3 linked regions of the Sus scrofa genome follow. The protein of the gene in region 3 interacts with the protein of the main gene of each other region in a pairwise test. Links are inferred from orthologs where the notes say so. Each region holds a gene or a part of one and is shown on either strand. Other genes may lie near its edges.

What was found. The genes of interacting proteins can lie anywhere in the genome.
Region 1: the proteins of PACSIN1 (region 3) and EHBP1 interact in a two-hybrid assay, tested with the Homo sapiens proteins (2 studies listed by BioGRID and IntAct). The link is inferred for Sus scrofa from reciprocal best matches to the Homo sapiens genes PACSIN1 and EHBP1.
Region 2: the proteins of PACSIN1 (region 3) and COBLL1 interact in binary tests that used the Homo sapiens proteins (3 or more experiments, as listed by UniProt). The link is inferred for Sus scrofa from reciprocal best matches to the Homo sapiens genes PACSIN1 and COBLL1.

The regions. Positions count from the first base shown.
Region 1 is NC_010445.4:79,258,714-79,263,685, reverse strand, and holds the start of EHBP1 (EH domain-binding protein 1), read left to right. Parts: upstream 1-1,795; 5' UTR 1,796-1,926; intron 1,927-4,972. UniProt on the Homo sapiens protein: May play a role in actin reorganization. Links clathrin-mediated endocytosis to the actin cytoskeleton. May act as Rab effector protein and play a role in vesicle trafficking.
Region 2 is NC_010457.5:71,495,109-71,500,123, forward strand, and holds the start of COBLL1 (cordon-bleu protein-like 1), read right to left. Parts: upstream 3,178-5,015; 5' UTR 3,111-3,177; coding exon 2,872-3,110; intron 2,806-2,871; exon of another isoform or gene 2,701-2,805; coding exon of another isoform or gene 2,642-2,700; intron 2,370-2,641; exon of another isoform or gene 2,192-2,369; coding exon 2,077-2,191; intron 2,052-2,076; exon of another isoform or gene 685-2,051; coding exon of another isoform or gene 653-684; intron 1-652.
Region 3 is NC_010449.5:30,457,969-30,463,222, forward strand, and holds the start of PACSIN1 (protein kinase C and casein kinase substrate in neurons protein 1), read left to right. Parts: upstream 1-1,882; 5' UTR 1,883-2,139; intron 2,140-5,254. UniProt on the Homo sapiens protein: Plays a role in the reorganization of the microtubule cytoskeleton via its interaction with MAPT; this decreases microtubule stability and inhibits MAPT-induced microtubule polymerization.

The sequences.
Region 1 (4,972 bases), on a different chromosome or scaffold from region 3:
TGGGTATTTAGAATATGACCTACAGTTAGTGCCAGCTCAGGTTCCATGTGCAAAAATTCCTTATGACAAGTAAAGATTCATTCATTCATGGGTAACTGGAACATAAATAATTTCACAAGAGGATATTCTGCTTTTAGTTGAAAGACAGGTTTTTTTTTTTTTTCTTTTCACTTTTTAGGGCCACACCCATGTCACCTGGAGGTTCCCCGGCTAGGGGTCAGCCACAGCCACAGCCACGTGGGATCCAAACCGCATCTGCAACCTGCACCACAGCTCACGGCAACGCAGGGTCCTTAACCCACTGAGCAAGGCCAGGGATCGAACCTGCGTCCTTATGGATGCTAGTCAGATTCGTTAACCACTGAGGCACAGAGGGAACTCTGAAAGACAGTTTTCTGATGCAGCTTTTCTGAGCTTTCATGTCAATCAAAGAACTTGGTACTATAATGACAGATTAAAAAAAGGGCTGCCTTTTAGGAGAATAAACACAGGTTTCTAAGTTTGTTTGTTTGTTTTGAATTATTACTTTCACTTATATAGGAGGTACAGATCTCAATCTAAAAAAATTCAGGCTTGCAAGAAACATAATTTCATTTTTCCATAACTCAGCCTGATTTCTACAAGCTCCAATTTCACAAAGAGCGGCAGACACTTAATCATAGTCAATGTTGGCAGGAAATGCATCTAAATTGAGAAGACTTTTGTATGATTACTTTGTCAGAGGAAAGGGATGGGACATTTGATCTTTTCTCCTCCTCTACCATGCTGAGTCCCCTCAGATTTCCAATTTGTATGCTTCCTCATTGGCAGCTAGCACCCCAGATGGTTGCTGGGTTGATCTTGATCTGCCAGCAGGGTCCCTGGAGGCCTGGTGCCTTCTGCTGCCTCTGTACCCTTTTAGGTGCCTGGGGATCATCATATTGGGCTTCTAGAACCTCCACGTTACTATGGAATGTTGCACTGTCCATTCTGGTAGCTACCATATGCAGCTATTTAAATTTAAATTAATTAAAACTAAAGAATGTTAAAACTCCACTTCCTCATTTATGCTAGCCACCTTTCAAGTGCTCCATAGCCGCAGTGGCTAGAGGCCGCTGAGTTGGACAGCTATGTACAGAACATTTTGTTCATTCATCACAGAAAGTTGTATTGAATTGTGCTGCTCTGAGGTCTTGGCTAAACTAGACATATGGCCCAGGTTTTTCTTCTCTTTATGGTCTTGCCACCTCCCCAGGGCTCTAACAAGGAAAAATGATCTCTCTCAGCTCTCAGATCCCATAGATAGATTCCGCCATTTCAGTTGCCCTTCTCCAAGGCTTCTGCCAGAATCCAGTGAGAATGAGGGCAGTGAGTCCTGTTCTCTGGGGTTCACTAGAACCCAGCCTCTCATTACTTTTCACAAAGCTTCTTCTTCCCCTTCCAGTCCAGGAAATCCATTTCTCATCTCTGTGAAAGGAAGTCTTACCATTGTCTCTACCAGCACTGTCCAACAGGAAAATAAAGCAAGCCACATGTATAATTAAAATTTTCCAGGAGCCACATAAAAAAGTAAAGTACTGGCTGAAATTAATTTTTAATGTCTTTTTCTGGATCTAATAGATCTAAAATATTATTATTTCAACAGGTAATCAATATACAACTTTTTAATAAGATATATTTCCTTCATTTTTGCATACTGTCTTTGAAATTGGTATATATTTTATACCTACAACACATCTCAATTTGAACTAGCCACATGTCAAGTGTTCAGTAGTCACATGTGGCTAGAGGTTAGGATTGAACAGTACAAGCCTTTAACTGGATCCATTTCATTACTCCCTAAAGGACTAGGGTTTTGAAACTCAAAAACAAGGAAAAGTCCCTGCTTCTCTGCATTCTGTTCTACCGCTTTCCTGAAACAATGATCAAAGAGCAGCCTAACTGAGGGTGAGTGTGATGCTGAGGGTATCTTTGGGTGGGGTATAGGAGAAGAAAAGCCATAGGATAAAAAGAAGTAGCTGGGAAAAAACTACTACAAAAACCTCAATTAATATTTCAAAAGTATTAGCCTGCCGCAGTAAGTTTTTTAAGGATATAAACATTGCTGTGGGATTATCAGAGTAAAATTTGTTTGCTATGGATTTAAAAAAATAATTTCATTAGCAGTTAAAAATTGCAGTAATATTGTTGTGTATTGTATAGCTGCTATGGTAACTGGAAAACACAATACAAAAACCTGGTACTATTGTTGCAAGTAAATCTTATTATTATGACTAAGGCACAGATAAATTCTATTAGTAGTTAAATTCTGCAATAATACCTCTGACAATTATTACTGCAAAAACTGAAAAACCCAAGGACAAGAATTTTATTATTAGGAATGATAATAATTCAAGCCTGTGGTTGCCTTTCAGAGAGTAGAATCTCCATTTGGGGTGTTTCTGAAACAGTGACTAGCAAAGCTGCTTTATTGAAAATAATTTCTATCATTTCAAAGCTGTCACAACAGAGAAGATTTGAAGTTTTGGGGTGGCATTTTCCACTTATTTTTTTGTATTGTATCTTTACTGTAAGCCTGATGATATTTAAAGGCAAAATAGAAATCACTCTAAGTGTTGAATCTTCTGTTAAGTAAAAAATCTTTTGTAGTCAACACCTGGGTCAAATGGACCGGACAATTAAAGTAATTTGCATCCACAGGTCTCTCACATGCAGATTAAGCCTGGGTTGATAAATCAAGACAGCAGTAAACAGAGGATTAAAAAAGGGCAGAAGCATAGTGGGCAATTCCCCCTTGGAAGAAGGCAGGTAGTTAGGGGGAATGGAACCTTAAGAAGGTAACTTCTAGAATGCCATCTCTAAGGATATGTAGCATGGAAGGTGGTTGCAGGATTGAAGATAAGTGAATTCTTAGTAATGATTTTTTTAGCCTTTGTAAATTATTGCTGTTCCACTCTTGGTAATCACTGAGTTAATGGGAGACAATGTTAAAACAATTTGTTTTGAAATCCATTATTCCTTGAAGTAGGGATGTTTGGTAGCAATTAAATATTGCCCAAGTATTGTCGAAGTTCTATTTTTTGACCGTTTATTATTTGTTATCTTTTTATTGTATTTCCTACCAAACACAATGGTGTACATTATTAATAACCATTTATTAACTGTTTACTATGTGTCAGGCACTTCACATACTACTTTACATATGTATCTTCCATCTTCTCAACATCCCAGAAAAGTAAGCATGATTATTCGTTTGACAGAATATGAAGCTGGGACTCAGAGAGGTTAAGAAATCTGTTAGTTTCTTTCATGTATGCTGAACATCTGTTTCTAAAAACTCTCTGAGAACGGGGACTGTTATCTTTTTTTTTTTTTTTTTTTGTCTTTTGTCTTTTTGTCTGTTGTTGTTGTTGCTATTTCTTGGGCCGCTCCCGCGGCATATGGAGGTTCCCAGGCTAGGGGTCGAATTGGAGCTGTAGCCACCGGCCTACGCCAGAGCCACAGCAACGCGGGATCCGAGCCGCGTCTGCAACCTACACCACAGCTCACGGCAACGCCGGATCGTTAACCCACTGAGCAAGGGCAGGGACCGAACCCGCAACCTCATGGTTCCTAGTCGGATTCGTTAACCATTGCGCCACGACGGGAACTCCGGGGACTGTTATCTTTTACGCACAATTAATAGCATTTAATACGACCAATGCTCAGTTGGTGTTCAGTATCAGCTAAGTGGACCAAAAAATCTTGAACTATTCTGTATTTAAGGTTCTCCAATAAATTTATTTAGCAGACAGTTTATTTTAAAAAAAAGTTATGAGGGAAGAAGCGGCTGCTCTATATTGGACATCTAGGAGCCTGTGAACTTGAGCTCAGCAACAGGACAATGTCAAGGTCTGCTTTTAATTCCTTCGTTTCTAAACTTGATTTCTTCTTAGCTACCTTTGCAGCTAGGATGAACAAGAAGCATTTACATCCAAGAAAAATCCCCTAAAATGAATAACTGTCTTATAAGAAACTCTTTGCCAGTCTCTTGAAATTTTTCACAACTTGAGAAAGCTTCCCTGTAAACCTATACACTTCTTTTTTTCAAGGAAGGGAAAGAGTATTAAAAGAAACCAGGATAGATGTTCTCCTGTGGTGCAAAGGGTTAAGTATCCAGTGTTTTCACTGCAGCAGTCATCTGGGTTGCTCCTGTGGTGCAGGTTCTATCCCTGGCGGGGAACTTCCACATGTCACAGGTGTGGCAGCACACACACACACACACACACCCCAAACAAGATAACCACATGAGAAAGTTTGAGAACTTCTGAAGAACAATAATACTAGAAAGGATGCAAAGTCCTCCTAATTATCATGTGGGTTGTTCCTGAATGGCAAATTAGATTAAAATAGTTATGACCATTTCTATAAATTAGCCACTAAAGAAACCCTCATACACTTAAAATCTTTTAATGATGCAGAATATATCACTATATGAGATCATAATAGCTATAGGTTGTAGTGACTTAGTAAACTACTCAGGAAGGGCACCAGAGAACTCTTTGATTCCACAAAATAAGAATCAATATATTATGGTTATTTTAATATTTAAAAATTAAGACTATAGTAAAATAAGTGATATCTATGCCCATTTCTGTAAAATGTACATTGTGTTCTTGTGGTATTATTAGATCACTTTATTGCAAATGGAAATAGAATTAGATACTAGATTCAAGCCTTCTATATCTTCCCATCTCTCCTGATTATTCGGTATCTCTCCTTTTCTTGCCGCCCCATGTCTTCAGATGAGCTCAAGTTCTCCCCATCACTGCCCTCCTTCCAGTCCTTCCAAGAATACTGCCCTAGATCCTAACACCTTTCAAGCTACTTTGTCCATACTCCCTACTCTCTATCCTTAGTAAGATTATAAATGACCTTTGTTTCCAGGATCCAGCTTGCTTATTTTCTTTTCATATTTTAGCTTCCCTTTCTTTTTTCAAACTATTGCCCATTG
Region 2 (5,015 bases), on a different chromosome or scaffold from region 3:
GATATAACAATTTATTATAACATACTGATTGGGATTGCTCCCTGCCACCTCCCAAATTCACATATCTAGGATAATTTCTTCCCACAATTAAAACCTTTTTTAAAAAAATGTTTTGGGGTTTTCAGGGGAAAAAAAGGCAACACTGAATACTAAATATTCAACAGGTATTATATAATAGGCACTTGGGATATGCCCAGGAACAATACAAACAAATGAAAGAAGACAAAGAAGTAATTTTTAAAATGTTTATACCTTTCAGATATTTTTAACTTCTCTGAATAGAATAATCCAAAGCAAAATGATATAGTGAGGGGTTTTATTTTAGATGAGATGCAGAAGTATTCTTCCGGGTCTTTCTTTAGATTTGGAGATGGCAGGGCAAAACTCCTAAAAAGTATTTTCCTCATATTTGAGAAATCAGCTAAAGCAATTTTGTACATTTTTTTAAACAGAATTTCCATTTAACTTTTACATTCTCACAAGTAAAATCTGAAGTATCTTGCTACAGTGGTGCTTAACACTAGAAAGTTCTATTTCTTTCATCTCAGAGCCATCCGATCTCACCTACTTTACCCACAAATATTATTTGATTTCTGAACATCTAATCCATTTGCAAATCCACAAATTTAATACTATCTTTTTTGGGGGGTACCTGAGTACATTTCTGTATTCCTGCAGCTCCATTGAGAGGTCCACGCTTTAATGATTAATTTCTTCCTGACAATGTATTTCTTTCCTCATACATCCTAACGTGACAATATATGAAAGAATATATGATAATATTTAAATAAAAAAACTGGGGAAAGATTAGAAACAGAAGTCAACAGAAATATGACTATTTGCAAAGGGGAGAAGATAACTAATTGAAACAAAAAAATGAAAGAATTAATTCATACACTACATGTTTCCTCTACGTAAGCATTATACTAAATATCTTTTATATTAGTCATGTTGCTTTGAGACTTTTCCATGTTTCCTCTAGACAACTGCCAATGTTCAAATGGTCTCTGATGAATAAACATGCTGTGACTTGCTTCTAAGGAAACGCATGTCATGTTCCAGGGGAAAATGATTTCTCTACTCCTAAATGAGGAAAACTATACAACTCTCATTCATTAGTTACACAGTCGATTCTTCCTTAGCGTGTCTGTTCATATTCTCTTGGATGCTTTTCTGTGTTCAGAATAACTATCAGAAAAGAAATTGAGCTGGGGGGAGACACTTGAAGGAAAAAGTTACACTTCTACAAAAGGGCTTCCCACTTCACAAGCTCAACTAGCGCCTGTGTTAAACTTTCACTGTTTACCAAGACGAAGGTTATTTTCCGGTGCTCCCCATCTCTTGCAGAACTACCTGTTCTCGTTACTGTTTACCCAAAGACAGAGCAAGGTGATTATTAGCATATCTGGCAAGAAGACGTGCTCCATTTAATATTAACTCACCATGTGACAGCCCCTTCCCCTCCAACCTCTCTTAAACGTGTACGAATACAAAGAAAAGTATCGTGTTTGCAGTCTGACTCTGCGCTAGGCTTTGGCACCAGCAATTGGCTAGAGGCACACACACCCCCAATCCGAGGCGCGCAACCTGCCCGTCCCGGAACTGTCATGCGGACTGACAGCTGGCACACCTTCCTGTCGCCCTCCACCCGGTCGCCGAAGGCCCCTTTCCTACAGTCACCTTGACAGTGCTCACCTGCTGGGCCTCAGCCCTTGGCCAAGAAAACTTTTTTCCCCTTCCCAGGAGTTCACTTACAGGTATCCTCCGCCTCTCTCCCACAGCCCCAACAATGGGCCCTTTGTTACCATTTTGCTCCCGGACTTCTTACCCAATGCCTGGCATTCAGCTGCCCTTCAGCTACTCAGAGAAGCCCCGGTAGGAAAGCAATCAAAAACTACCCGAGCCCCGTCCCCGGGCGGCCTCCGAGGAAGCCTGGAGGAAGCCGCCTCGTTGGCCGCGTGTCCTACTGCGGGTGAATCAGGCCGCCGACTGGGTGGCGAGCTGCTAGCCAGGTAACTGGTTGGAGCCCGGGCAAACCTCGTCCTCTCCCTCCCGGGTCGGCCCTTGGAGACTCACCCTGCTGGGGCAGCCGGCTGAGGCGCCGCCAGGGCGTCCTGCGCGCTCGGAACTCCGCCGTCCATCGCCCTGCTGGGTGCTGCGCGGGCTCTGGCTCCGAGGCGGCGCGTCACTGCTGTAGTGGGAGAGGCCGGCGGGTCAGGGCGGGACGCACGCCTTCCCGAGGCCTGAGCAGGGTTGGCGGCGCGTCAAGAGCCCGCCCGAGTCGCCCGAGCCCTGGGTTAGACCGCCCGCCTCCCGGGTGCGCTTCCACCTGCGGGCCGGGCTCCCAGCCTGTGGGCGCGCCGCTGGGTCTAGCGGCCGGAGGGAGGCGGCGCAGTAGCCCCCGCCCCTGGGGTTACTGGGTAGCCATTCGGCGCCTCTCGGGGAGGGAGCGGAGCTGCCCGGGCTGGAAGGAGGAGGAACGGGACGAGGGGCGAGGCGCACAGGCACCGCCGTCGCCACGCCGGCAGTGCGATTCCGGGCCCCCTCGGCCAAGTTTGCACAAACAAAACGCCCTGGGGAAGCTTTTCACGAAGAAAAAGCTGGGAGGGCTCATTTCTCTTTTCCCACCCAGGGCTCCTACTTTCTTTTCAAAAGGAGACAGTAGCTCCCTGTTCTCTCCCACGGCTTCCTCTCCCACATGTCCCTCCTCTAGACCCGGCGCTCGCTTTCGGCTCTCCAGCCAGGGCTTGAGGAGAGAGCGGCTGCCTCTCCGAGGCTCAGTCCAGCGCGGACCGGACCGCAGCTTCGCATCCCCTACCTCACCGGCGGGTGCCGGCGCCGCCTGGCCTCTCCCCGGGCCGGCTCACTCACCCTGCCCCATTTCCCTGACCAGAGCCCGGGAGCCAGCAGCCGCCTCCGCCAGTCGGCCACTCAGAAGTGGCGACGGGGCTCGGCGGCATCGGAGTGAAACGAGCAGCGAGCCGGAGAGAGAAAAGTGTGGGGGGTGGGCGAGGACCGAGTGGTAATTTCCTTCCCCTGGGGCTTAAGGGCTTTGGGGTCCAGTTGGGGAAGCCGAACGGAAAGGAGGCTCCTGCGCAGTGTGTTCTCATTCCCACCGCTAGGGTGTCGCTTTGGGAAGCTTGGCCCGCCTGGGCCGGACAGGTGGGGAGGAAGGGAGGGTACCTGCCCCGCAAGGAGCCGAGGGGAGGATCCAGGAGCCGTGGAAGTGCCGGGAGAAACTCGAAGAACCGGGCCGGCAGCTTGCCCTCCCTTCCAGTCTCACCTTCCCCCATCCAGGGTGGGTTTTTTTTGCTTTGTTTTGTTTTTTTCCAACCTGACTTCTAAAGTTGCTCTTCTGTTAAAAGCATACCCGTGACACTGTGATTTTTCTACGCGGTGGCATGTTTAAGCTTGCCTTGTCTTCAGAGGCATATTTCTTTCTTTCTTTCTTTCTTTCTTTCTTTCTTTCTTTCTTTCTTTCTTTCTTTTTTTTATTTTTAAGCCTATAATAACTGTGACGTGAGGCCTGGACGTATATCTGGTGACAATCTATGAACTAAGATTCAAATGATAGGTTTTATTCACCTCGAAAGTTTTACAGGAAGAAATCAGACACAATTGTGTAACTGCACGTTTTCCCACGTGCAAGGCCTTTAGATGATCCTTTACACCTGACAAACAGGTATATTTGCATATCTTGTGTGCCAGTTGTTGTAAGGTGCAAGCCATTTTTGATTGGTCCAAAAGCTTACATTCAGGAATACAACTTGAAATTAGAAATTAACTTTACACTTTAAAACGGAAATACTTCAATAAACCAGTAGAGAGATTAGACGAAAGACCATCTTTTAGGAGGCTTCTGCTGCGCTGTTAAAAACAACCCATCTGTATTAACCACTTCACCCTATTGATAGAATAAAGTTTGGTAGGTGGGTTAAACTGATACTTAGAACCAACATTTGACTAAACCAAAGTTTGACTAAGGCTCTTTAAGTTATATCCACTGTGGCAACCCAGAGGATTGCTGAAACTAACATACTAAATACCCAATGTGCCTTTTGTCTCTTATGGACCGTAATTACTATTTATTCCTTCCTATGCATAATATATTCCTTTCATTGTATTTCTACATATGAAAAGGGGAAAAAGTAGCTTATTTGGATTACAATATTGGAGTCATATCAGAAAAAGTTGCTGTTTAATATTTTACTTAATATATTAGTCAATTCAGTTAAATCCATCTGGATTTTAGTCTTCAAACAATTTCATGAACCAGTTATACCTCTAAATGACTAGCTTTTACAGTTGCTCACACAGACAATAATGTAAACATTGAGTAATAGTGAAACCTAAAGTCTATAAATTTCAGTCACCAAATGAAGATTAAACTTTAGTTTCAACCTTAATTTATGACATGCTAGTAATTTTATTGACTCCATTAGTCTAATCTGAAACATAAAATGTTACCATAACATTTCATAATTGCTGGAGGCTTTTTGAATGCTTACCAATTTTTCCTATCCTCCTCCTGGTTTTAGGTGTGGAAGAGGATTACACTCTCCACCCCACTGAAATTAGGTATGGTGATGTAACTGGTTTTGATAAGTAAATGTAAGCAGACACGAAATATTTCATTTCCTGGTAGAATTCCTTAAGGGCCAGTGCCTGACTTTCCATGCTCTCTTCCCTTGCTGCTGCAATCACAAAGATTTACATTAAGCTGGAGGTGTCATAGGACTGAAAGATCCTGGGATGCTGTACTATTACACTGGGCATAGCTGCCCTGGAGAGCCCCAGGATCTACAACAGAATTAGCATAAAGCAAGAAATAAACTTGTGTTGGGTTAAGCTACTAAAATACTGGAGTGGTTTGTTGTCCAGCATTTCTTAGCCTGCCTTAGTTTTGTTTTTGTTTTTGTTTTTCTTTTCTTTTCTTTTTTAGGGCCACACCTGTGGCATGTGGAAGTTCCCAGGCTAGGGGTCACATTGGAGTTGTAGCTGCTGGCCAACACCAC
Region 3 (5,254 bases):
TGCCTTGAGCTGTGGTGTAGGTCAAAGACATGGCTCGGATCTGATGCCACCATGCCCGTGGCATAGGCCAACAGCTGCAGCTCTGATTGGACCCCTAGACTGGGAACCTCCATATGTCACAGGTGGGGCCCTAAAAAAGCAAAGCAAAAAAAAAAAAAGCAAACACACACACACACACACACACAAAGAAGCTCCTCTGGAGAGAGCCACGCCTGCCTCCTTGCTCTGAATGGCACAGAGAGTCTAGCAGAGGAGGCTTCTGACCGAGGGCTAGCTTGGGGCTCTAGGTGGGATGTGAAGGTCCCATGGAATCCCAGGTGGGTCAGAACTTAATGGGACTGAGAAAAGTAAGTTATTGGGGAGATATGAGATCAGAAAAGTACTTTGCTGGGGTTTGTTTGTCTGTTGTTTTTGTTTTGTTGTTGTTGTTGCATGTGTGGCATATGGAAGTTCCAGGGCCAGGAGTCAAACCCTCGTGGCACAGGGGAACTTCCAGGAAAAATACTTTGAAAAGTGAAAAGAGGAGTTCCTGTTGTGGCTCAGAGGGTTAAGAACCTGACTAATATCCATGAGGATGCAGGTTCAATCCATGGCTGCACTCAATGGGTTAAGGATCTGGCACAGGTTGCAGACATGCCTGGGATCTGGCGTTGCTGTGGCTGTGGTGTAGGCCAGTAGCGGGAGCTCTGATTCAACCCCTAGCCTGGGAATTTCCATATGCTGCAGGTGCTAAAAAGAAAAAAATAATAATAAAATATTTTTTTTTTTTTTTAAAAAGAAGAAAAGTGAAAAGAACTGGGAGAATGGGAGAAAGTCTTAGTTTCTGGATCTGGGCACAAAACACTAATGGAGGGAGAGGGAGATGGGGAAAGGAGTGGTTCAGCTTTGATGAACCTAAGTTTTGCAATCAGAAAATACAGAAGAAAGCTAGAATCTGGTGTTGCCCTGAGCTATGGTGTAGGTCGCAGATGTGGCCCGGATCCCCTGTTGCTGTGCCTGTGGCATAGGGTGGCAGCTGCAGCTCCGACTGGACTCCTAGCCTGGGAACTTCCATATGCTCAAAGAGCGGTCCTAAAAATAAGCATATTCTATAGACTGTTTGTTATATTTAACATCTGTCTTCTCTCACAAATACGAACTACCCGAGGGCAGAGATTTGGTCTGTATCATATGCTCTGCAGCCTGGCCCCTCATCAGTGCCCAGCACATAGTAGGCTCTCAATAGATAAGTATTGAATACATTCTTATAAATCCAAGAGAGCCCCCTTGCACGTCCGCAGTGTCCAGGCTCCCGGAAGCATTCAGGGTTCAAGGCAGCCAGAGTGACGGCATTGGGGGGGGGTCACAAGGAGCCCCCCAGAGAGCCCCAGGAGACGGTCCGGACTCTGTCGTGGTGACAGTAGGTTCACCTGGAACCAGGGCGGGAGGGTGAGTGACTGCCCCGTGGGGTCGAGGGGGCCCTTCTGGGCGAAGCTGCTGCGGAGTCGAGGGATTGGGGTGGGGGTGGGGTGGAGGAGGGGCCGTCACCCCTGCGCACCGTGCCTGGGGGGTATGTTTGGGGTATGTGTGAGCCGAAGACGCAAGATTATGAGAGGTCAGAAGCAGACAGACAGGGCGGCAGGGATGTCCTAAGAGGTGGAGAAAGGGCAGAGAGGGGGGAGAGGAGCGACACCTCCGCGTCCCGAGCGCTCCCGCAGGAGGGCTGCGGAAGAGGGTGCAGGGGCAGCGCTCTCGGCACCCGCCCGCCGCGCAGCCCCTCGGAGGAGGGCGCGGGCCTCGGAGCGGGGGGTGCGGACACCCGCCCCCAGACCCCCCTCCCCCTGCACCTCCTAAGCCGGCGGCTGCAGCCTCAGCAGCCGGGGCGCTTCCACCTGCGCAGACACGGCGCCGCCCTGCGCCGCGCTGCCATTGGTTCGCTAAAAATGCCTCTCTAATCTGCGCCCATCTGTGCACGCCTCCCGCCAGCCTCCCCCTCCTCCCTGGCTCTGACCTTCCTCCTTCCCGCAGCCCCAGCGAGATCTGGAGGGACGCGGCGGCGCAGCCTCTCTCCCCCGGGAAGAGGTCCGGGCTTGAGGCCGGGCCCGACACCCCGCTTTGCCCCGGGGCGCCGCGGATGGTGCGGGGCGCGCCTGCCCCCAGGTAGGGGGTCTGGCCCTTGGGTAGGAGGTGGGGAGGGAGGGCTCTCCTTCGCGAGTGCGTGTTTGCGGTGGGCGCACAGACGCGCATCTCTCCCCGCCAGAGCGCGAGGGAGCGTCGACCAGTTACCTGGGGAGAGGTGAGCGCCTGGGCCGGGGGGTGCTTTCAAGCGCCGGCTTCACGGGCATCACCCAGGCAGTGTCAGGATGTCCCTGCGCTGGGCCCTCTGCGAGAGGGAGCTGGCGTTTTCCCTGGGGAAAACGCAGGAAATAGGTTCCTTGGGGAGGTGGGACCCACGCCTGAAGTGGGGAGAGGGGGTGGGGGTCTGTCTCTGGCCTGGCTTGTTCCTGTACGGGAAGGGTAGGTGGGCTGGTGCCAGCCTGGTGCGTAGGCTATTTCTGGACCAGAGTGGGCTGGGGAGAAACACAGCAGCTGATGTGCGCCCTGTCTGGTTTACAATTAAAGCTATATGTATATTTTTTTTTTTAATTTTTTTCTGTTTCTCTACCCCTTCCCCCATTGCTGGGATGGGGCGGGGAGAGGAAAAGGAGGTGACTGATAAAAGGCCTGCAAATACAGCAGAAGCCACGGTCTGTCTGGCACTGCCCCCCCCACCCGCCCCCCGCCAGGCCACTTGCTGCCTGTTAGAACTCTCTCCTCCTTATTTTTGCCTTACAGGAGGCCCCGAAAAGATTAAAAGGTCGTCAGGATGGGAGGGACAGAGTGGCAAACCACAGAGCTTGGCTAGACCTAGCTTCAAGCCCCAGCTGCCCCCACCCTCCACCATCCAGCTCTGCACCCCACGTGCAGGGACACATGTGGCCGCTTTTCTCTGGGCGCCACCGTAAATAACTCACACTGCCCTGGCTTGGGCATAGCGGGGGTGCAAACAGGGCCGTCCCTGATTTTGGAGGTTCTATCCCTCACCACCTGGCTTTCCTATCACATGTCCATAAGCCATGCAGAAGCCACCCCCTCCAGGCTGCTTCCTGATTCCCCAGGTGAGAGAGATCCTTGCCTCCTGCCCTGGGTCCTCCTACCTAGCCTGCCCTGTGGCCTGGTTATTTGTGCCTTGTTGCCCACTAGACTGGAAGTGCTTTAGGGTGGGAATCTGTCTGATTCATCTGTCATCGTCCCTGCACCCCAGACCAGGGTCTGGCACCGAGTAAATGTTTGTGGAACAAGTGAATGAGTCAATTTGAACTCCAGGAAATAGCAGGCAACCTGAGGGAGGAGGGTGAGCCCCCTCCTGAACGTTCCTCCCACCCACCAGGACCAAAGTGCTACCTAAAGCAGACAGGCCCCTTTAGGCCCTTCCTGGTCCTGGAAGTGATGGGCAGCTGTGGCGTTTAGAGGCATCCCTGTAGTCCCAATGGCCCTGGAGAGTCTGGGGGCCTCCTGGTTCCAATCCCTGGCTGCCCCAGGCTTGGTGGAAGGCCCTGGGGAAGATCTGGCTCTGCTCAGTCCCCGGGGTTGGCCCTTTCCTCCAAGGGTGCCAACTCACACTGGGGGTCTCTACCTTTGGCCCAGCCCTGGGGAGAGTGCTGTCACCCCCAGCGAGTCAGAGACTGCCCAAGCCAGGCCACCCTCAGCCTCTGAGGTCCTCATGGTGAGTTCTGAACAGATCTTGGGATTGTGTGCAGAAGAGGAGGCGGCCAGCAAGGGATCTGGCCTGGCCACAAGGCTATGTCTGTGACATGGACGTTCCCAGAGCCGTCCCAGGCCTTGTTGTCCTTTGACAGCCATGCTGATAAGACTGCAAGGGGCTCTGTCCTCATCTCATGGAGGGGAGACGGAGGCCCAGACACGGCCGCCTGCAGCGCCAGGGCCGGCCCTCAGTTCCTGGCCCCAAGTCCTGTGCTCTCTCTGCTGGGCTTGAAGGAGCTGGGGCAAGACTTAAAGGTTCCTAGTGATGGAGAGAGTGCGGGAGCGATGCTTGCGGAGGAGGAAGTGGAGGATGGCTTACTTAGTGCCTGCAAGGGGCTGGCCCAGGGGGCCTTGCAGGGAGGGAGGCAGTAAAAACAGGAAAAACTAACAGGGCACAGCATCTGCCACGGGCTAGGTCCTCCGACTGCTTTTTTGTTTTGTTTTGGCTTTTTAGGGCTGCACTCGCAGCACACGGAAGTTCCCAGGTTAGGGGTCAGATTGGAGCTGCAGCTGCCAGCCTATACCACAGCCACAGCCACGCGCCACAGCCACAGCAACACAGGATCCAAGCTGCATCTGCGACCTACATCACAGCTCACCACAACCCCGGATCCTTAACCCACTGAAAGAGGCCAGGGATCAAACCAGCATCCTCATGGATCCTAGTTGGGTTAGTTAACCTTTGAGCCACGAAGGGAACTCCCTTTTCACATATTGACCCATTCAGTCTTCACCGCAGCCCAGCAAGGACGGTGCTGTTATTACCCCCATTTTACAAATGAAGAGACTGAGGCACTGCGAGGTTGTCTGTCCAAGGTCACACAGTTTGCAACTGGAGGAGCTAGGATTTGAACCTAGGCCCCAGAGTCCCTATTCCCTAATGCAGAGGGCTGTGGACCTTGCTGCTGGGGGCGTGTCTCTGTGGGGACAGAGGGGGCTCCATGGCTAAAGTCCATGCACGTGGGTCGTGTGTGCGTGATTAATAAGTGTGCCTCTGATGGTTGTGGATGCACAGAATAACAACAGCCATTTCAGCGAGGCTCCTTGAGGACCTACTGTGTGGCAGGCAGAGTGGTCTTTATAAGGCGCACATCTGAGTCTGCCCCGCCTCTGCTCTGCATCCTTTAGTGGCTCCCCATTGCCCTGAGGGCAGGCAAAGTGCAGCCTCCCAAATGTGGCCCTGCTGCCCTCCCCAAGCCTGGGCTTCCTCTCCCTTCTCATCCTCCCTCTGCCCCCAGTGGCCCTGAACTGCTTTCAGTTCCTCAAATAAATCACACTTCTCTCACCTAGCTGTTCCCCTGCCTCGAACACACTCCCTCCCCCGCTCCCCATTCCTTCTCACCCTCAGGGGTCTGCTGAGACCCTGCTTCCTTCCAGAAGCATCTACAAATTCCTCCTTGCCATACCTGGCTCACCTCACCTCACACCATATCCTCTCTGGCTTTTAATAATTGCTCCCCACCCACCAACC